Caenorhabditis elegans: one gene and its partners. The protein of the gene in region 3 interacts with the protein of the main gene of each other region in a pairwise test. Each region holds a gene or a part of one and is shown on either strand. Other genes may lie near its edges. The genes, in order: npp-14, C27F2.10 and puf-8.

Region 1 (9,490 bases), on a different chromosome or scaffold from region 3:
TTGTTATACTTACTAAATATCTTAGTAAAACTATTTCAAAATAATTAATTTTTTTATGCAAAAAGTTCGAATATAATACAATTAGGTGTATGCTTCTTTATGTTTCGTTTCATCAATATTAACAAAATTTGATGAAATTTTCGAAAATGTTTGTTTCTAAATATTTTCGATGTTTGTTTAATCTTTTGCTAACTAAAAAAACTAATTAATTGTAAAATTATACAATTTTTTCCACAGTGAATATATGATTGAAGTATCTTTTTTAAAAACAACAAATTAACGTAACTTCCGTAAAAAAGTTTTTTTCCGGATTCAGCCTTGATTTAACCTTTAGAAACTGCCCTGCATTAAAAAAACCAGAAATTCCCAAAAAGATCCAGTTTTTCCAAAAACTTTGACTGAAAATTTTGAAAACGTGCCGAAGATCAAAAAATTTTAATTATGATACTCCGTTTATTTATTTTTTTATAAATTAACTCACTCAATTAAATAGGTTTCAGTGACAGGATTCACCATAGTTTCAACGACATTTTCCGCAGTTCGTAATCCATTCGGCAACGATTTATCTGTTCTTTCTCGCATAAATTTCCACTCTTTTGGCTGAAAAAAAGTAACCAAATTAAAAACTAATATTAATTTCAACATAGATTTGCATCAAAAAATAATGTTTACCCGTCCTTGATTATCAACCAGCAGTGTACATTCGATAATTTTATTATGATACTTTTTGAGAGTTGCCGTTGCTTTCATTGTGCCAAATGGATCGGAAAGATTCTGGACAAATAAATATCCAATCCATTCGGGAAGCATTCCTTCTTTACATTTCCTGCAATTCGATTATTCTCTTGATACCCTTCAATTTCCTCTTTAGAAACTTACTTTTCAACTTTCAGTAGAAAATCAACAGAGTTGTGAGATGGTGGTTTCCACTTCAGAACTTTATCACATCTTCCAGTTTCATACTTCTGTAAAATATCATTCTCAAACACGTTCAAAATTTAATTTTAATTCTCACAGTTTTCTTCGGCTGGAAAATGAGACCATCAATTTCGTGTCCGACATGCTGCACAAATTTCGGTCCAAATAATTTAGCAGTTGCTTCAAGATCATAAAAATCTTTTCTTCTGACAGACATAATCTGGTTCTCGTGCTTCAGGCGTCCAGTTTTGAATGCAGCAGTTCTCATGTCGATAATTTCAGTTTTGATGATTTCAAATCGTTTATAAAATGGCTCTTTCATCACATTAACGCTCTGGAAACGAATAATACATTTTCTTTCCGATTGAAATCAACTTACATTGAATCGCATAATATCATAGATTAACATTCGAGGCTGATCACACATGGCTCCATTGATTTCAACCTGAGAAAACAAATAATTCATTCATAAATTATGAGTTTTCATACCTTATCAATGATGACTTCAGTATCCACAAGGGTTTCCATCAATGGTGCACCATTTTTTGTCACGAAATCAAGATTTTCAATCTCAAAAACCTCGTTATCACGATCAAACGCATAGACATCTCCATCGTTGATATAAATGATGTACCTAAAATTTTAAAAAATCTTTAAATGAAATTTTAAAGAATATTCACTAACCTCATGCCATCAGCTTTCCATGATACCATATATGATTCCTGTTCGAGTAAGTTTATGTTTCCACGGCTCAAAGATACGGGTTGGAGACCCGGAAATCCTTGTTTGTTGTATTTGCAGAGATTTTTAATCTAAAGAAAAAACTATACAGCTAAAGAATTGTGAGAAAATGATATACCTTGGCTTGAAGCATGCTCTTCTTCCCTTCATCTTCACACACTTTAACTCCTCGAATTAATCCGTCCATGAACAATTTCGAATTATCTCCTCCTCCGCTCAATTGATTTCCATTTTGATTATTATTTCCTGAATAAAATTATTTAAACGTTAAGGCTTGAAATTGAAGACAAACCGTTCGTTGCGGGAATTTGTTGGCTTGTCGATGGTCGTCCGTTGTCAATTTGTGTACTCATGCCAATAGACATTTCTCGTTCCCAGTCTGGCTTCTCGGGAGCCAGAATTTTGTCATCTTCTGTGGGATCATATCTTGCAAATAAATCATCGATGTAGTCTTGCTTGTAAATTCCCTTCTGTCGATTTTCAGCAAACTCTCCGATTGCAGCATCGAGACCATATTCCTTAAAAATATCCTGTCAGTTTAAAAAAGATAATCAACTTTTTATTCTCTGAGCTTTTTCTGATTCAAAAAGAAACGTATTTAATTAGACACTTCTCAACAAAATATCATGCGTTGATTCCAATAAATGAGTACATAAATTTTTAGCTTCTCGAAAATTAAACAGTTGGATTGTCATGATGAACTAAACAGTAAATACCTCTACTTGAAATAGGTATGCAGCGATTAAAAATCCTGTTCGATTGAATCCGTGAGTGCAATGCACTCCGACAACACGATCTGGATATTTCTTATGAAATTCTTGAACGAGTTTAATGAAGTTGTCCGTGTCCTCCTGAGTCGGCGACACTCCACGTCCAGCCATTTTCATTTTATGATAGATACATTCGTGTTCGGTAACCTGAACATAATCGTTTTGTTACAAATTTATTTTTTTAATTGAATTTCATACTTCTTCGCGGAAATAATAACGATCAGTGTTTGTGAGGTCGATCCACAACCCAATCTTTTTTCCGTGAAGATGAGGATGTGAAAAAACTTCTGCCGGGTGGAATTGATACCGTCTTTCGGCAATTTGATTGTCATACATTTTACACAGTGGTGTTTTGAATGGGAAAAACAAATTATTGATAAGCTGAAAATGAGAACAATGAACAACCGAAATCTCAGATTTTGCACAGACCGTTCCGGTTTTTGGACAGTGCAGCCATCTATCAGGCAGTCCCATTCTCGCTTTGTCAGGTGTTGGTCCTCGTGTAGCCATTTTCAGTCAATTTAAGGCAATAACGCACAGAAATCGATGGAGAAAACAAGGAATCCGATAAAATGTTTCGCAATTTCGCTAACCTCACGAAACGGACGCGTGCTGGCGCACTTTTTGACAGCTGGCGCACTTTGAGTGCAAGCTTACGCGTTTCCAGTTGTATTTTGGCGAATTTAAAGAATTTTCGAAGTGTTTCAAAATAAACGTTTGTTTTTTATTAATTGAAAGAAAATACTATATTTTTTAACTCCTTATCTATATTAAAGAACATACATCCTCTGAATTTGTTCAAAAAGCTCTTGATCGGTTTTTGAATGCCCGTTTTTTCTTATGCCAGACATCCTTTTGAACATTTTCTCCTCAATTTTTTTTACATCTATTTTTCGTGTTTTCAGAGATGTCGAACGAAGATGTTGCTGAAGACGTTTCTCAAGTCACCGACTTTCATTTCCACACTTGCCGGAAGTTTCGGCTTTTTTCATCAAAGTCAGATGGGTACAGTCAAAATGAGATAAACATTCGAAACCGAGTTGCTACGTCATCTCAATTGGGAGTTACCTTTGTAACAGTTAATTCTAATCAGGTAAAATTATGACTTGTTCAATCGTTTTCAAAATTATTTTTCAGTTATCATGCTTCCATACAAAAAGTCTTCTTGGTTACAAAATCACCCGAGAAAATATGAACGTTGAAGTTACGGATCTACCAATAAAAACAATTCGTCTTCATGGGGTCGTTTTAATCAACGACATGGGAGTTAATTCTGATGGAACAGTTCTCGGAGTTCTTCATACTAAAAACAATGACGTTTCTGTCGATGTTTTCGATATTAAGAAAATTTGTACAAGTTCAAGCATTGAACCCTTCAAGCCGTTGTGTACTACAAGAGTTGGAACTGAACAAATTAATCAAGGAAGTTGTCTCGAGTGGAATCCTGCTTTCCCAGATACATTTGCTGCTTCTTCAACAGATCGTAGCATTTTAGTCGCCAAGATTAATGTTCAAAGTCCTGCAAATCAAAAACTTGTTGGAATCGGAAAATTTGGTGCTGTCACCACGGCAATCAGTTGGAGTCCAAAAGGAAAACAGTTGACGATTGGAGATTCGCTGGGAAAAATTGTGCAGTTGAAACCCGAATTGGAGGTTGTTCGTAGTCAGCATGGACCGGAGAACAAGCCGAACTATGGAAGAATTACTGGTTTATGTTGGTTGGCTACAACAGAATGGCTGGTATCTCTTGAAAATGGAACAGATCAAGATGCTTACCTAATGCGGTGTAAAAAAGATAAACCAACCGAATGGATTCAATTTCACGAGCTCTCGTATTCCTCTTCCAAATGGCCTCTTCCTCCTCAACTGTTCCCAGCTACTCAACTTCTTGTCGACTGGAATGTTGTAATTGTCGGAAATTCGAAAACAAGTGAAATATCAACAGTTGGAAAACGAGATGACTGGCAAACATGGGTTCCTGTTGAAGGAGAAAGTATTTACTTGCCAACTACGTCTAGTGGTAAAGATACAGTTCCAATTGGAGTTGCGGTTGATCGTTCAATGACAGATGAGGTTTTACTCAGTACGTTATGTTTTTTACGGTTTCATTAATTTCGAAACTATTTTTCTACAAATGTATTCATTCTTTTCAGATCCTGACGGCTCTCAGAGACATCGCCCATCTCCTCTCGTACTTTGTTTAACAAACGACGGCATTCTCACTGCTCATCACATCATTAGCACATTTGCAGCTCATATCCCTTGTCAAATGTACGTAGTAATAAAATTTGATGAATATAATAATATTATCTTTTTCAGGTCCAGTCAAAATTTGGCGATCAATGACTTAAAGAAGCTCCAATTTGATTCACAGAAACCCATATCTGCTCCACCTTCTGATCAGACACCCGTTACAAAACCGTCTACGGTGTTTGGGCAAAAACCAGAAGCTGAAACTCTAAAATCATCTCTTGTTGGATCTCCATCATCTGTTCAGACACCTAAACCTTCATCATCACTTTTTAACCCTAAATCAATCGCAAGCAACATTGAGACATCACAGTTAACAGAATCCAAGCCATCAACTCCGGCAGCTCCAAGTTCCCAACCAAAAATTGCGTCAACACCAAAATCAGAAGCAATTCCGAAAATTTCAGACAAAACTTTGGAACATAAAAAGGCTGAACTGATTGCAACCAAAAAGCAGGTTCTTATCGAAAGAATGGATAAAATCAATGATTCAATGGCTGGAGCTAAAGATGCTACGATGAAATTATCATTTGCTGTGGGAAAAGTGAAAACTACAATTATGGAATGTGCTGATGTGGTTAGGGCATCATTAGGAGATTCTAAAGAAGTTATGGACGAACTGAAAAATCTAATTTTGTCGATCGAGCGAATGTCTGACAGAACACAACACACGGTGAAGGAAATGGATTTTGAAATCGACGAAAAAATGGAATTAGTTGCCGGAGTGGAAGATGGCAATCAAGTTTTAGAGAAGCTCAGAAATATGTCAGAAACTGAGAAGCTGATGAGATTCAACAAACTGGAGACTGCTGCCGATTTGTTAAATGGAAAATATGAAGAATGTAGCGATTTGATTAAAAAACTGAGAATGAGCTTGTCTGAGAAGGTTTGCATCGTTTCTTTACTTTTACTTATTTTAATATAATTTTTACAGGAGTCACTTCGAAAACAGGCAATATTGTCACCACTTCGTCTCAGTTCAAATCTCAATCAACTTCGCTCCGGTAGTGAAACCGAGTTGGCTCTTAAAGTTATGCGCAACGTCTCAAAAATCATCATGGATACCCGAGAGCAAATTCAGCGAACTGAATTAGAATTTGTCCGTTTCCAAAGGGACGTCAAATTTCAAAACTTCAAGAAGGGAAAGGAAAATCTGAACTTCACGCAACCACTGGAGATGAGTAGTCTAGATGGAGACGCTCCTCAAGGAAAATCTCTCACTGATGCAGAAAGTATCAAAGTAAGACAAGCACTTGTGAATCAAATTCAAAAACGAGGAATTGTGAAGACTAGAAACGTCATCGTGGAGTCTTATAAAAAGTCAGAAAATTCGGCAGCAATGAAAAATGATTTGCTCGATACTTCAAATCTTTCAAATGCAATTCTCAAGTTGAGTATGACACCAAGACGAGTTATGCCATCTTCTTCACTATTCTCTGCATCTCCATCTACACCATCCACTAAATCAGATGCAGCAACTCAAGCCGATGAACCTCCTATTGTTAAAACTGTCGTGGTAACAGTTGAATCACCAGCAAAGCCAATAGCTTCTGCTCCAGCTGTCTCTTCGCCATTGATAAAGCTCAATACAACAACTGCGACCACAACAATGACGACACCAAAAGTAACAGTTCCAAAAGAAGAAGCAAATAAAACACAAGATCAAAAACCAATCATTTCTACGCCAGCATCATCTTCCATTTTCTCTTCGGGTAGTTTGTTTGGAACAAAAACACAAACACCTTTAGTTTCCAAAGAAGAGTCTACATTAACAACTGGAGTGCCTTCTTTGATTAACAGTTCCCTGAGCATCAGTCCACAAGAAATCGAAAAAGCATCCTCGAAAGTGGAGACACTGAATAAAACTGAAGAAGTAAAAGATGAAAAATCTGAAAATGAAGTTACACCTGACTTGAAGTCTGAAGAGCCTAAATCATTAGAAACAAAAGTGAAAGAGGAGCCAAAACCAGCTGTTCAGACTCCAGTGAAAGAAGAGGAAACGGGAAGTAATATACAAAAAACACCAAGTTTTTGTAAGTTCCTTTTTTGTTGTTAAAAAAATGAGTTTCAACCAAAGAATGATATTCGATTAAATCGATGTAATTATATGAACATTATAAATGTATTGTTTCCATACTTTAATCAACTGAAATTTAAAAAAATTACTTTCAGCGTTCAACTCAACAACTACCCCAAAGTCGACTTCCTCCACCTCATCGATCTTTGGCGGTGGTCTTAAAACTCAAACTCCCAGCTCTTCCAACTCAACAAATATTTTTGGAGCTCGAACCACAACAACGGCCACCCCTACACCTGCATCGAACACGTCAAGTATTTTTGGAGGTGGCTCAAAAGCAGCAAGCTCTCCATTTGGAAGTTTTGGACAGGCTGGTTGCCAACCGGCTAAAACTTCGAACCCTGCAACATCTACTGCTTCTGTGACTTTTTCGTTTAATACTGGAGCAACGTCGGCATCAGCAAAGCCGGCAGGGTTTGGATCTTTCGGTGCAGGCGCCTCTGCTAAACCATCCTCCGTTTTCGGAGGTTCAGTGACTGCGCCTACAGTTCCAAATGTGGATGATGGAATGGAAGACGATTCAATGGCAAATGGTGGAGGTTCTGGAGGTTTTATGAGTGGACTTGGAAATGCGAGAACATCCAACACTTCTGGTGGAAATAATCCGTTTGCACCGAAGACGTCAACTGGGACATCAGCCAGTAGCAGTTCATGGCTTTTTGGTGGTGGTGGTAATCAACAACAACAGCAACAGCAAAAAGTATCGTTTCAAGAGTCTCATTGTATTGTAAGCATTTATTTCCTATTTCAGCCGTCGTTTTCTTTCAACACTGCCGGATCGTCAGCTCAACAAGCATCTGCACCTGCAACAGGAACGTCGTCAGTTTTTGGAGGAGCTCCGAAATTCGGATCGCAACCAGCATTTGGTGCTAAACCATTCGGAGGAGGGGCGAATGCAGGATTATCTAAAAATGCTTCAATCTTCGGAGGAGCAACATCTTCCACAACCAACAACCCTGCCACTGGTGGATTTGCTCAATTTGCATCAGGCCAGAAGACTTCATCTTTGTTCGGTGGAGGTGCAACTCCACAGACGAATACTTCTATCTTCGGTGGTGGAGCTAACACAACTCCAGCTCCGACATCTTCTGTGTTTGGAGGAGGAGCATCTGCCAATGCCAATAAACCGACATCTTTCACATCATGGCGATAATATATTTTTAATGTCTAACATATTGATTCATCAAACTTTAATTGTAGTTTATAGTCCATCTCCCCAATTATTTTCCCAAGTACTTGTTTTATTGATTATCTCGGACCGGTTATTTTGTTGTCTGTCGTGTTTTTGAATATTCATTTTCATAAATTTTGTCAATTAAGCTTCTTTAGAATTATCTATCCTTCAACTTCCAGGGGCGGAAACAAAGCCAGCCGAAAACACTCCTCAAAAATGATACATATCCACAGATTAAAACGAACGGAAAGCAACTTCATTTCAGAAAACTAAAATCTCCTTTAAAGGCAATTTGACATATATGACACTTTGAATAAAAAGTGAAGTAATTTTAGATGCAATTCAAAAATCTTACAGTAACTGATAGTGAGTATCGGAGATGAATAAAAATGCAAGTTAAGAAAGCAATATTTAAATACAAATTAACCAGATCTGAAATCGCGTTTTGTTGTATCGGAAAGGGGATCGACCATCGATTCGGTAGCTTTCGTATCAGTGTTTATCTGAACAAAAAGTTGATTATCTACAATCATAGGGAGATACAGACAAAACAAAAAATAATTAAAATCAATCTAACTTATGATTGAAAGTATCACTTACCACCCATTTCAACATCTCCACTTGCTCCATCGTGTTCCATACTTTCTTCTCCGTTCTTTTGCTCCGTTCCGTCATGTGCATTCGCCATTCGTTCGTTGAAGCTCTCGTTCAAGTCAACTTCTTCAGTATTGGGACCCGTCTCATCATCGTCCTGAATAACAGTAAATTATTATATTCAGATAATGCTAGATTCTACCCACCTCTTCCTCCTCGTCATCATCCTGCCCATCATCATGCAATGGCATAAGATCATCCTCATCGAATACTTTGTTTGCCTCTTCATCAACCGGCTCGGCGACTGGATCCTCATCAGTCCACCGAATTGGGAATGTGGTGACGCGAAGATCTTCGGTTTCGATTTTACGGGAAAGCTGAAAATTTTTGAAAATTCAAGGTCAAAACTGAATTATCTACATTTTTTAACTGAAGGAACTTTGAGATTAATTTAGAGCATTTCACTTTTTCCCTCTTTCCACAACAGATGGTTTATTACGTCATCCCATACAGTACATCTGTGTGCGTGAGCCCGATCGATGATGTCCATCTGCTCGACAGGTAGCGTGCACAACGTATTCAGTTCTCTCATTGTCATTGTCTCACTCTCAACTATTTTTCGTTCTTTATTTTTAATTATTTCATTAGTTTCATTGCTCGTTTAATAATATTTATTTATTTCCTTCAGATTGTGAAAATGAAAGCTACTGCAGCGCAAAATAATTCAACTCATGCTAGTGTAGCGACCAAAAATAGCAACTACAGAGGCGCTACATACATTTTCGACAAAGCTATCGGAGGAATTGTTTATGCAAGTTTTATAATTGCCGGAGCAATCGTCTTCGTTGGAAGTAAGGTGGAGGGCTTTATTGGACTCGACGAAAACCGTTCTGACGATCAGGAATGGACTGTCATTAGACAATAACTGGTGCTTGATTTATCAAAAATAATTTTGTGTGAATGACT
Region 2 (6,348 bases), on a different chromosome or scaffold from region 3:
AAAATAAGAAATAGCTAGATCATGATCGATAACTGCGGGTGGGTTACTGTACACCTTTTTTTGTGCGCCCTCAATTTGAAATATCTCGTTCGTTGCGAGACCATGTACCGTATTTTCAATAAAACACAAACCTACCTCTTTGGTGGGCGTCTTTTGTGGACGAAAAACTCTACAATAAGACTCTTGTTGATAAGATCAGGAGCGGGAGATTCAAAAATCTCATAAGCAACTAGTACACTGTCTGATTCTCCTTTTCGGATACACGTGGATTTACTTTCTGAAAACGTTTTATCACATAAAAGGAGAACGCATGAAAGTAATAGAACTTTGCAATGATGCTCAGCTGAGCTATGTAGCTCTCTGTCACCGACTTTTTGAAACTTAAGCTGAAGTCGTCAAAGTTTGGCAGTTAGGAATGAACTGTCCAAAGTATTGGCAGAAAGTTTACCAAGGTTTGTCAGAAGGTTGTCAGTTGTAAATTTACGATGTTCAGCAGAAAGTTGGCAAAATTTGGCCGAAAGATGCAAAAAATTGACAAGAAATTACCAAACTTCGTCAGTAAGTTGCCAAAGTTCGAAAGAAAGTTGCACTCAAATGCCGGGCTTGTAAACTTCGAAAACTCACTAGTGACAACTTGACAAAGTCGGAATGGATTATATCCCCTGGAAAACTTAGAAATTGACTTTTCCCTCGTTTCATCTTCCTCGGCAGATTTATCCTCGCTGATGAGAATTTCTCGAATTGTCTGAAACTTTTAATGATTCTTCCTCCAAACTCAGATATGAAACCTGTGTTGCAGCAAAAAAGAACTTCTTCAATCTGGCTCTATCAGTTGATGTTCTCTCTTTCTCTATTCCATCTTCAATTCGTGTACTCTCTGAATGTGGACATTGTGTCTCTTTCTCTTCTGTCTCTCCTCTCTCAGTCTGTACTTCTTCTGTATGACAATCTTTTCCAGTTTGTGTTAGGGCATGCGATTTATTTGATGGAAGGGAATTGAATGGTTCAAAAATATTGGAAGATAAATCCGTAAAGACCTGACTTTTTGTTACTTCGATACCTGAAAAAGTTAGGATTACTGTATGAGTAAATACCTGCGCGTTTGAGTAAGCGATTCTGAAAGTTTTGAAGTTACAATATTTCAAAAATCTTTAAATACTACACATTCATAATAGGAGATTGTCAATGCATGATATTTTAAAGCCAGTTGAAGTTATTCATAAAATAAAAAATAAAAATCTTACTGATAAGTCCACGAAGCTTGTTTAATCTTCCAAATGCTCGTTGTTCTTGTGTCTGACGTTCTTCTTCATTGTGATATGAATATGGTTTATTGTCAATCTGAAGTTATTACTTTTCAAATAAGTCTCACCGCGAAAAATTTTATCGTACAGTTTTTTGGAACATTAAAAATTTTTTGTCTAATCTTTTTTTTTTCAATATTTCTTGATTTTTAAACAATTTTTCAGTATTTTAGTTGTACCTAGGTGCATCTTTTCAAATTAAATAGAAAAAATAAAAAAGTACTACCATAAACTTTTTTCGCGTCGAGACCCATCCGAATAAAACTATGCGTCTTCGAGCAAAGTTACGGTAACATTTTAAAGAAAATCAATAATTTTTGAATTTTTTTTAGCTTACCGTAGATTGAACAGTAATTTGTGCATTTGAAATCTTTGGAGCAATTGTTGGTTTAGGAGAAGCTTCTGTTCTTCTCATGTGACTTGTTGCTAATCGTTGCATGATATTACTTTCAAATGAAACCTGCAACTTTTGATTTTCAATCTTTTTTCTAAGTATCTCTATTGATTTATCACAAATTCGTTATCTACCTCAGCTTCTACTTTTGATTCCTTTTGTGGCTTTTCTTCAACTTTCGGAGCCTTTTTCTCCTCTTCATCATCTTCTTCGAAATCATCTTCATAATCTTCAAAGTCATCTTCATATTCGTTCACTGGTTCAGGCTCAGGCTCAGGCTTAATAGTTTTTGATTTCTTTTCTTTTTTATCTTTCTTTTCTTTCTTTTCTTTCGATGATTTCTCTTTATCTTTCTTTTTCTCCTTCTTTGAATCTCTGAATCACAACTATAAAACCAAAAATTCCCGAAAACTCACTTTTCCTTTGACGAACTTCTACTTTTCGATGACATTTTTCATAGAAAATGGAATAAAATGAAATCTTTCTTCGATTTTCGGGTGGTTCAAATGCTGCACATTTTAGTTGCTATGGTGACCATTTTCAACAAGATTGCCCTAATCTTTCTTTCTTCAAACTTTCGAGACTTTCTCAGTGAAAATAATTTACTTTATGAATCTCTAGACATAAAAATGCGAAATACCATTCTTGTTTAACAGTAACCCAAGGAAATCAACTCAACTGTTTTTTTTTGTTTTGAACTTCCGCGCTTTTTTCTCTCGCGGACGAGGTTTTGCGGGGAGGGTAAAATCGGCCATTTCTCCTCTTTGAATTTTTTTTGACGAATTTAGCGCGCGCAGGACAAAAATTAATTCATTTTCAGTTTCAGCAGCTGAAATATAGTTAAAATGCCGTCAGTAAGAAGTATTGAAGACTACTTTGGTCAGATTGAGAGGTAGTTGAGTGTTTTTTACCCAAAAATGTGTGATTTTTCAGCCTCCTTTACCGACAAGACTGGACAAATGGAGAGAAAATTTCAAAGTTTGTGTCGACTTACGATGAGCACGCACAGGAACCGTTTATGCATGTATGCGAATCTGGAATCTTCTATTTGTTGGAAATCTGAATAAATTTCAGATTGAAGCGTACGGTTCGAGATCAAAACGATGCAGAGTATCAGAAGATGAGGTTTTCGATGAAATCGTCTGTTTGCATCTTCATGTTCTCTACAATATCCACGTGGCCCAAGATCTCATCACGGCTCAGTCGACACAGATTCAGGTAATTTCATTGTTTTTTGAAATATAGAATTTGGAAAAAAAAGTCGAAAAAGGCTTTCAAAAGAGCTGTCTTTGCAGATTATTCAACTATTCAACAAAGAGATTCTTCAAAAGCGAAAAGACGAAAACTGGTTTCTTCCAATTTTCTATCGATTGTGCACTGATTTGAGATGGCTCAGTAAAGGCGCAGAAGCATGCGTGTCTGGTGATGATGAAGGAGATTCAAATGCGAATTCATTTTTTGAAAGTGCCGCCAAAGCGATCACAGAATGCTACAGAACTTGTGTTTCGGATGTTCATGCCGAAGAGGGAACCACGAAGAAAGTGGCAATGTTGAATATGACAAATCAGCTATTCCAAATTTATTTTCAGGTGTTTGATGCTTTCTTCAATTTTTTTGAATTGTAATTATAATTTTTAGATAAATAAGCTGAATCTCCTGAAGCCATTGATCCGGGCAATCGATAATTGTGGGTCATTGTATCATGATTTTTTGATGTCGGATAAAGTAGCTTACAACTATTTCCTTGGTAGAAAAGCAATGTTTGATGCCGATTTGAATCTGGGTATGGTTTTCTTTAAAATCTGAAATCTTGAGTTCAATACATTTTTTTCAGCCGAGAAATCTCTGCTCTACGCATTCAGGAACTGCCCAGCTGACAGTATGTCGAACAAGCGAAAGATTCTGATTTATTTAATTCCTGTGAAAATGTTTCTTGGTCACATGCCAACATCCCAGCTTCTCCATGAGTATCGACTTGATGAGTTTCAAGATGTTGTGGCTGGTGTAAAAGGTTTCAACTTAAAAAAAACAACATTTGAACATGAAACGTTTTCAGATGGAAATTTGGCTCAACTCGATGGAGCTCTTGCAGCTAACGAAGCATTTTTCATCAAGTGTGGAATCTTTCTGATGCTTGAAAAGCTGCGAATGATCACGTTCCGAACTCTTTTCAAAAAAGTGTAAGAGTTAAATTAAGGTTTCATGTTTATTGATAATTTTTTTCTGTTTAGAAGTCAGATAGTCGGAACTGCTCAAATTCCTTTGGATGCTTTTCAAACTGCTCTTCGCTTTGTTGGAGTCACTGATGTTGATATGGATGAATTGGAATGCATTATTGCAAATCTTATTGCTTCGGTAAGTGCACAAAGTAAAAATTAACCCAATAATTTCTTTCGCGTATCATTTTGTGCTTAATCTGATGCCTTTAAACTTTTTGCACCTCAAAACCTAATCCGTATATGTTTTGCAGAAGAAAATCAAAGGATATCTGTCTCATCAACATCAAAAACTGGTAATCTCAAAGATGAATGCATTCCCCACGCTTTCTGGTGTCTCTTCTAATTGATCTTACGATTTATTATGTGCCTTATTGTGTTTTCTATTCGTTTTTATTTCATTTTTTTTCAGCTACCACAGAGAAAAATATTAAAGAACATGGAAATGGGCAATTCCCGTTAAGAAAATAAAAACATTGAAAACAAATGTCTGCATTTTTGCGTAGCAAACTTTCGAGATTTCATCATGCACCTTTAAAGTCTACAGTACCCAATTGCAGACATTACATTTCATTTGACGACAATTCTCGTTTCACCTGGTTCGCCGCCAAATTGGTGTTTTTCCGATCAAATTAATGGTGCATAGTCTGCGGAAAACGGGAATTTCCCGCGTGCGGAAGCGTCCATAGGAAAAAAACAAGGCGTTTCTCGCTTTGTTATTGGTCAATTTCAAAATAGTGGACGTGTTCAACCAATTAGAGGCTGTAAAATTTTAAGCTGAGCAATGGGAAAACAAGAAACAACAGCTGATTGGTTGGCCACGCCTACTTTCTTGAATTTTGAGGAGAAAAAAGCGAGGAACTCCGGTTTTTTCGCAGACTATGGACGCACCATAAACACAAATTGAGTTTTTGTCTTCCTGGAAAAATATTTTTAAGTCTATTTATGTAATTCTCTTATTTTAATGGAAATCACTTTCAATCCAGTGTGACTAAAAATTGAATTTGCAGGTGCGTCAGGCGACGACGATGGCGGTGCAACAAAAACGAAGAGGGCTCTCGTTTATTGATGCAAGTAAGGTTTTTTCTTTCATTTTGCAAATTTATTGTCTAAATTGAGTTCAAAATAAAAACCTTCGAATGTAAGTTGTTAGTCAGTGAAACTCTCCGTATTTGAACAGAGAAAAAGCAAATATTGAACTAAATATGGCGAAAAATCAACAATTTGTAGTTTCCATGATCTAAAACAAATTTATATTAAGAAATTTCATTGCATCAAAGTTCATCTTCAATTTCGGAAATCCTCGCCTCGTCGTTCTTTATTTCCTGTTTCTTTAATACATATTCGATGTCAGAAAATTCAAAAATAGGTGACGGAAACCATAAAAAACGAGCGTTTTCTTTGTCCAGTTAATTGCTATTTTTCATAGTGAACAGAAAAGCCGAGAGCATAAAATTAACGCATGTTTTCAAGGAAAAAGCCCACACAGATATGATGTATGATTGTACGAAAATTGTCGGTTTTTTTAAAAGATTTTGACATTTTTTAAATGCTGTTTATACTAATTACTGTAAGAAAAACCAATTAAATACCGAAGAACCATTAGAAACCCTTCAAAAACAAGACAATTACTTCCTAATGAATTTTTAACGTGAAAGTTTGAAAACCGGGAATGTGACGTAACTTTTTTTTCATTTTTCGTCTTCAAACGTTCGTGGGAGAAGCGAAAGTGGCTAGAATTGTTGATTATTTCTAAATTTTTAAATATTTATGTTTCCTATCAAGTTTCCCGGAAATGAATACAGATAAAAGTGAGCGAACTTTCAATTTTTTATTTAGTTGGGGCGGAATATTCAATAATCTTTCATACTTTCATTTTTAGCAGTGAAATAATCTTTCTTCTTAAATGAGTAGTAGCGGGGAATGTAGAGTTCGATTTCAAATACTAGAAAAAATATCTGAAACTCCAAAAATATCATTTGAAAAATAAGAAAAAATGAGAAAAATCCAACATTTTGGACCAATCTCCTTTAAAATGTGCCAGAATCCCAAATTTTCAGCGATTTTTCTGGCAGATTTTGTGATGCAAAATAATTTTCAAAAGTTCATAATTGAAACAGCAGTGAAGTCTTTGATGAAACCTTAAAATGTCTATAAACGATTATGCAAAACGAAAAAAAAGTGTGGATGTCATCTCTCTGTCTAATTTTCTCTTTTGAGATGCTCCATGAGCACTTTCTTTTTTACATCATAAATATTCAAATTGATCATGCTTCTCCCCTTTTTTGCCAACTAATTCGCATTACTTCCAGCGCTATGAATTTTCACAGTAGATTAAGTGTTTTTATTTGAAAAAAAATATACAGATGTGTCGTTCCGTGTCTTTTTAAAGGCAATTTTCTAGTAAATATTAAAAAAAAAACAAAAATCTCTA
Region 3 (6,933 bases):
ACGAAGTGGAAGAGGAGTCTGAAATAATTGATAATTCAGATGTATTAAAGATTTAAACCTACAGTAGTAGTTGCAACATTTCTCATCGATAGAGCCTGTTTCAATGAATATTCATCAATCATTTCATTTTTTTCCAATGCCTTTGAAATTAACTTCAAGATAATTGGATCAACAACTGTTTGAATACTTGAAAGTGAAGAAGAAGAAGCTGATGGCATTGTTGCAGGAGTCTTGGTTTTATCAAAATTTGGTTGTCTAGTTGTGGTTGAAAATGGAATCGTTTGAAGTGATATTTGTCTTGGAGTTGTGGTAGTTGTTGGAATGGCTGAAAATTGACAGCTTTAATCGGATGTTAACTTAATTTATTAATTATAAATTGCAATTTTGAAAATGTTGTATATACTGAATTTTTCAAATAGTTGTCTTGTAGATGTTACCTGTGGATGTTCTTGTTGTGGTTGTCATAGTAGTCGTGGTAATTTGAGGATTAGTTTTAGTAGTGAAAACATTGAAAACTTCTTTCTTTTTTTCTGGTTTCTGTGATTTTCTTGGTTTCATTGTTGTAAAAGTGGCTCTATACGGAGAATCAATCTTCGTAATATCAATGACTGGAGCTACTGGAACTGATGCAACGGGTGGTAATTGGGGTTTAAATTGTGAAGCAGCTAATAATTCAATCATATCCTTATCTGGAATAATGAAATGTTTAATTTTCATAACAAATATCTCGAAGAAAGGAAATCACCTTTCCCGAGTTCAAACAAATTCTGCCACGGACCTTCCATTGCAAAGAGAGGACTTTGACTAACTACTGGAAGGAATCGAGAAGTTACTGTAGAGTTAATATTCAAAAGTTTGTGAAGCATTTCACTAAAATCTCTTTGTGGTCGTGTGCCAGGCCTGAAACAAGATTATTTGAAAATGCAGAATATTGGATGAACTTACAATGGTTTCGAGCTTCTTTTGCTACGTTTCCTTTTTGATTCTCCATACATTCGTCTCATTTTAACTAACTGTATTTTCTGTTTCTCAAAGTTTGTTAATGGTCGGATAAGATGATCTCCAACGTAGACGTGATTATTCTAGAAAAAAACCGTATTTGTTAATTGTAGTAATTAAAAAGTGAAGTGACTATTTCATAGATTCTGACAAAAGAATACGGTAATTGGTCTCGAAGCGTCTTTGACCTATCAATTTCCGATCGTGTCGACCCCTGATACCGTAATATTGAAGATTTACATTAAAACCAGATGGTTCTAACTATACACAATTGGAAAAAAAAACTTACTCGAACAATACAAGAATCCAACACCACTTCAATAGAATCATCATACCCTCCACAGAATTTTGGAATTGTAGGAAACGAGGCTTCGAAAGAATCAAATGAAGATGATGAACTGTAAAACGCTTAATTTTCAAAACAATCGAGAATAGAATGACAAACTCTTTGAATGCACTTAGATCATGCTGATACGAACTAAATATGTGTAGTTCGTGATCATTCAACTTTCGCTTGGAAACACCATGAAGGAATAGGGTACTGTCCTGAAAGATTTGGAAGATATTTTCAAATTGTTTTCTACGAATGCTTACAAATACAGCACATGCTGGTCCAACATAACCATATCCAGGTTGATATTCAGGTGGTGTATTTAGAATTAGGGCATTACCAATTAAAGGTAATATAAAATAATGAAGACTTTTAACCATGGCAACCAAAGGGTACACCTAGTCAAAGACTCTATTTGGTCGTGATGAGTTCAAGTTACGAAGCAAGAACAAAGATGGGACTGTGAGGAGACAAGGGGCGTCGCTTCTCGGCACACAAACTATGGTGTTGTTCCCACGGCCGGAAGCTGCTTTACACGAACCTTATGCAATCGGACGCTCTATGTTCGTACACACACACAATACGCTCGTACGATCGGCCAGCCTGCAACCTTTTTCGATGTGAGGCTTTGTTTTCCAAAATTAAATATACACAAACAGACAAAATCTAATTCTCGTTAAAGGTCAGAAAGGGGTTGGAATGGAGATGACAATGAAATAGAGGTGGGAGGAAATTTGATACGATGGCCGGCGAACGGACGGTCGGGAAGAAAAAAAAAAACTAAATTTGTCGAGAATCTTCACGTTGTTTGCTTTTGCATGCTCTACACACTTTGAAGTTTTTGAAACGGTCATTCGACTCCCGAGAATAAAAAGATGAAGATGTATATCCATTTCATTGTAAAGAAAGAATCAAAACGGTCAAGCTATGTTAAGCACAAAGCACATGGAAAATAAATTTAGAATATTCAATACTATGCATAACAACACTCATTCATACACTTTCTGCCAGTTCTGAAGAGTTGAGAGTGAGGAAATATCGACTTTGGAGCAGGTATCTCTGAGAGCACAAGTATATTCAATTGATCTACTTAGCATTTGATCTCCAGAAAAACGGAGATTAATATAAATGCTATGTTTACATTTACTGTTACATCTACACAGGGTCTTCACTAGGTCAGCTTGGGATTCGTATAAAATTAGGTCCCTGAAGAATTAGGTCTCGCCGCGAACTCGAATCACATGGGTTTTCAGAAAATACAGTACCCGACACCATATTGAAACTACATAATCCAAGCCTACTATTTTTTCAAAAAGTCGAAAAAAATGTTTTTTCTACTCTCCTACATGCCACGCCTCCTTTCAGCATATTACCTTTTCGTATATTAAGTTTTTCACCAGTTCTCCTTTCCATGGACTCTCAAGTGCGTGCGGAACCTCAATAATTTAAAGGAACATGCATTTAATGGAGAAATGGGTTTCACCACGAACACCACGACTACGGTATTCGTTCGAAAATTATCCGAATAAATACGGAACTCCTGTTCTAAATAGTGATTTTTGATTGTTTTTCATTGTTTTCTCATTTTAATGTTCTAAATTCTCATGTGCAACTATTTTAATTAATAAAAATAAATAAAGTACGCGTTGCAATTGTTTTTTCAAGCTGAACTATGCCTCCTTGACCTAAAGTAATTATTTTAGGGGTAATCTGCGTTCCTGATGAGTCGTCCGATTTCAATTGGGAATACATGCACATTTGATCCTTCAGCTTCTCCGATTGAATCTCTTGGGAGGAGCATCGGTGCTCAGAAAATAGTGGATAGTGTATGCGGATCTCCGATTGTGAGTCTTGTTTATTGCAATATTGAAATTATTTTTTATTTTGAATAGAAATACAATGTTCATGCAATAAATCACACTGATAGATTTGCCGCAGTGTTTGTCAATTAAATTTTCAATAAAACAATGATTTCAGAGATCGTATGGCCGTCATATTTCTACCAATCCAAAAAATGAACGCCTTCCCGATACACCAGAGTTTCAATTTGCCACTTACATGCATCAAGGAGGAAAAGTAATTGGCCAGAATACATTGCACATGTTCGGAACTCCACCATCGTGTTATTGTGCTCAAGAAAATATTCCAATCAGCTCTAATGTCGGTCATGTCTTGAGTACTATCAATAACAACTACATGAATCATCAATACAATGGTTCTAATATGTTTTCGAATCAAATGACACAAATGCTACAAGCACAAGGTTAGTAAAAACATATTTCGAATATGGAAATTCTCCGTTTTTACAGCATATAATGATTTACAAATGCACCAAGCGCATTCTCAAAGTATTCGTGTACCGGTTCAACCGTCTGCCACAGGCATATTTTCAAATCCCTACAGGTTTTTTTCTAAACTCAAAAATAGTTTAAATATTTGTATATTTCAGGGAACCAACAACCACCGACGATCTTCTAACTAGATATCGTGCAAATCCAGCCATGATGAAGAATTTAAAATTATCAGACATTCGTGGAGCACTGTTGAAGTTTGCCAAAGATCAAGTTGGCTCGAGATTCATTCAACAGGAACTTGCTTCCAGTAAGGACAGATTCGAGAAGGACTCTATATTTGATGAAGTCGTTTCCAATGCTGATGAGCTCGTTGATGATATTTTCGGCAACTACGTAGTGCAGAAATTCTTCGAATATGGCGAAGAAAGGCATTGGGCTCGGCTCGTCGATGCAATAATTGATCGTGTACCAGAATACGCGTTTCAAATGTATGCCTGCCGTGTTCTTCAGAAAGCTTTGGAAAAAATCAATGAGCCACTTCAAATAAAAATTCTTTCTCAAATCCGACACGTCATCCATCGTTGTATGAAAGATCAAAATGGAAACCACGTGGTTCAGAAGGCCATAGAGAAAGTCAGTCCACAGTACGTCCAATTCATTGTCGATACGCTTCTAGAATCCAGCAACACAATTTACGAGATGTCTGTGGATCCCTACGGTTGTCGTGTTGTCCAACGTTGTCTCGAACACTGCAGTCCTTCGCAGACGAAGCCTGTTATCGGCCAAATTCATAAACGTTTCGACGAAATTGCAAATAATCAGTACGGAAACTATGTGGTTCAACACGTCATTGAACATGGAAGTGAAGAGGATAGAATGGTTATTGTTACTCGTGTCTCCAACAATCTATTCGAGTTTGCCACCCACAAGTACTCGTCGAACGTTATCGAAAAATGTTTGGAACAAGGCGCAGTTTATCACAAGTCCATGATCGTAGGAGCTGCGTGTCACCATCAGGAAGGGTATGTATATTCATGAAAAATGTAGATATAATTATTTCATTCAGATCTGTACCGATTGTTGTCCAAATGATGAAAGATCAGTACGCCAACTACGTTGTTCAGAAAATGTTCGATCAGGTTACATCAGAACAGCGCCGTGAACTCATCCTAACTGTTCGTCCACACATTCCCGTTTTGAGACAATTCCCTCATGGAAAGCACATTCTTGGTAAGATATTGCAAAGAATGATTTAATAATATTCAACCTTAATTTGCAGCAAAACTTGAAAAATATTTTCAAAAGCCGGCTGTCATGAGCTATCCATACCAAGATATGCAGGGATCTCACTAGCCCAATCAGTTTTGTACTATTCCCAACACTCAACTCCTCACAAATGTACCTTTAGTTATCTCAAATCCGGTTGTTATACCGGTTCTTTTTGTTATTCCCTGTGCATTTCTGTAGACAGCTTATCGTAATTTGTAATGTTACTCGTTTTGTAATTTTTTCCTAATCTTATTTTAGCATAAAAATTTGAAAAAAAAGTTGTTGAACATTTGTTTTAAAGATGTTTATATATCTCCCTTATATATCTTGAATTACTTGAAAACCGTTTTCGCACAAATCTAAATGTTTGAGATGGAGTCTGGTGATCATCTCGGAAATCTTTTCGATGATATGGTAGAAGAGGATAACGATGAAGATAGTTTTGAAGAACCTGCGTGTGAAGACAGTTTTGATTCTCAAGAAGCTTCATCGAAAGCTAACGAACCTCAAAACGACAGTTTCGATGAGCCTATTCAGAGCTCAGTAAGTAAACAAAGTGATGATGCAAACGGAGAAGATGAAATTAATGAAGAAGTCATACAAGAACAGAAGGAGCTGGATTTAAATGAAGAGGACTTCAATCTTTTGACGATTGGTTTGTTTGTGAGTATATATAAACGTTATAAGACAATCATGTTACAGAAGAAGTTCCGTTGGATGTTCTGACAGCTCGTATAAGAAGAGTGTTCACCGAAGTCACATATAGAGCAGAGCCTGCAGCGATAGCACTTTTTGACGTCGCACACAAAATAATTTTCAAGTCAACTATGTTAGATTGCAAACGGAATACTGTTATTGATTCGATAATTGAAGGGCTTATATCGATTATTGTTGATGAACGAGAACGAGATCAAGGTGCTGAGGAGGCCGAGCATGTACTTATGATATTCATCGCAAAACTTGCAATTAAAAACAAGTCAATGAAGTGCAGTGATCTTCTATATAAGCTGATTCTTCTTGTCGATCGTCTTTATTTGCACGCTGATTCTTTCGTTCGTTGTCGCATTTATCGACTCATCGCGTGTCTTATGGAAGAAGCGAATCGGTATGCTGATGTTATGCGGGAGCATGGAGATGACGCATTCCTCTCTGATGAAGATCCTACAGAGAGTGAAGTTATGATTCCAAGCGGAGTGAAAAACCGATGGATGGGAAAATTGGCGAAGAGTTTGTTGGACAAGTCGCCAGAAGTTAGATGTAAAGCTGTAATTGCTCTATCACTGTGGGACCACGATATTGAATGTAAAACCACATGTTGTGATGAAGTAACTGTGAATGATCGTAAGTTGGCAACACTCTTTATTAACCAGAATTCACGTTTTTTTACAGTTTTGTGGAAGAGTGTTCATGATGTTGATGAAAGTGTGCGTGTCAATGCAGCTCGTCGAGTTCACATTGCGAATGAGAACGATATTGATAAATGCATCGACTACGTCGAAACGAGCAAGGATAATCGTGTTAAACAAGCAATAATTGTGAGATTAGCATCTGATGTTTCATTGCTCTCGTTTTCTGAAAAACAAAGATTCCGGCTAGTAAATCTCTTAAACAACAGTGATAGTGGTAAGAAATATATGCTGACCAGTGTGATTCAATTGATTTAATTGATTTTCAGCTCGTGTACAGGATGTTATTCATCAACTTCTCGTCGAATCTTGGATGAAGGTGGCTGGTGATGAGATTATCTCTCCTTCTATATTTCCATTCCCGGACTCAGATAATAATAATATTCCTAAAGAATTTCCAAGTATCATACTTGAATATCTCGATCCTTTAGTTGATCCCACTGCAGTTTACGTCTTTGTAAGTTAGAAAGCTTCGGTTGATTTCCTACAAATTGAAATTCAGATGAAGTTCGCCACTGTTCGTTTCATCCAAAAATCAACCGTTCAGCAAGCATGCGGCTCTCTAGATGTTGAGAAGTTTATGAAGGATCTGCTTAGTATGACAATTCCTGATTGTGAAAGAGTTGGGCTGATG

Evidence for each region.
Region 1: the proteins of puf-8 (region 3) and npp-14 interact in a two-hybrid assay, tested with the Caenorhabditis elegans proteins (one study listed by BioGRID).
Region 2: the proteins of puf-8 (region 3) and C27F2.10 interact in a two-hybrid assay, tested with the Caenorhabditis elegans proteins (one study listed by BioGRID).

Annotation. Positions count from the first base shown.
Region 1 is NC_003279.8:9,658,760-9,668,249, reverse strand, and holds npp-14 (Nuclear pore complex protein 14), read left to right. Parts: upstream 1-3,334; 5' UTR 3,335-3,336; coding exon 3,337-3,522; intron 3,523-3,566; coding exon 3,567-4,512; intron 4,513-4,582; coding exon 4,583-4,700; intron 4,701-4,748; coding exon 4,749-5,565; intron 5,566-5,613; coding exon 5,614-6,712; intron 6,713-6,851; coding exon 6,852-7,456; intron 7,457-7,507; coding exon 7,508-7,909; 3' UTR 7,910-8,076; downstream 8,077-9,490. Other genes in the region: cel-1 (mRNA guanylyltransferase), read right to left, coding at 482-600, 673-826, 880-965, 1,016-1,252, 1,298-1,363, 1,408-1,552, 1,603-1,730, 1,778-1,905 and 4 more; C03D6.9 (Aa_trans domain-containing protein), read left to right, coding at 9,222-9,449; asfl-1 (putative histone chaperone asf-1-like protein), read right to left, coding at 8,423-8,433, 8,531-8,681, 8,731-8,901. UniProt on the Caenorhabditis elegans protein: May serve as a docking site in the receptor-mediated import of substrates across the nuclear pore complex. Plays a role in apoptosis by tethering caspase ced-3 to the nuclear membrane preventing its autoprocessing in absence of ced-4.
Region 2 is NC_003281.10:4,983,069-4,989,416, reverse strand, and holds C27F2.10 (PCI domain-containing protein 2 homolog), read left to right. Parts: upstream 1-2,518; 5' UTR 2,519-2,543; coding exon 2,544-2,590; intron 2,591-2,631; coding exon 2,632-2,722; intron 2,723-2,772; coding exon 2,773-2,916; intron 2,917-2,993; coding exon 2,994-3,287; intron 3,288-3,336; coding exon 3,337-3,481; intron 3,482-3,532; coding exon 3,533-3,709; intron 3,710-3,754; coding exon 3,755-3,878; intron 3,879-3,929; coding exon 3,930-4,053; intron 4,054-4,168; coding exon 4,169-4,264; 3' UTR 4,265-4,398; downstream 4,399-6,348. Other genes in the region: wdr-60 (WD Repeat protein), read right to left, coding at 136-277, 625-745, 789-1,060, 1,245-1,341, 1,642-1,764, 1,833-2,073, 2,115-2,149; putative F-box protein C27F2.7, read left to right, coding at 4,943-4,988.
Region 3 is NC_003280.10:7,294,348-7,301,280, reverse strand, and holds puf-8 (PUM-HD domain-containing protein), read left to right. Parts: upstream 1-3,033; 5' UTR 3,034-3,051; coding exon 3,052-3,174; intron 3,175-3,307; coding exon 3,308-3,593; intron 3,594-3,639; coding exon 3,640-3,733; intron 3,734-3,779; coding exon 3,780-4,646; intron 4,647-4,690; coding exon 4,691-4,854; intron 4,855-4,903; coding exon 4,904-4,977; 3' UTR 4,978-5,166; downstream 5,167-6,933. Other genes in the region: C30G12.1 (uncharacterized protein), read right to left, coding at 1-18, 63-325, 438-689, 746-900, 946-1,082, 1,289-1,397, 1,445-1,545, 1,594-1,710; C30G12.6 (uncharacterized protein), read left to right, coding at 5,266-5,548, 5,596-6,234, 6,283-6,516, 6,569-6,756, 6,802-6,933.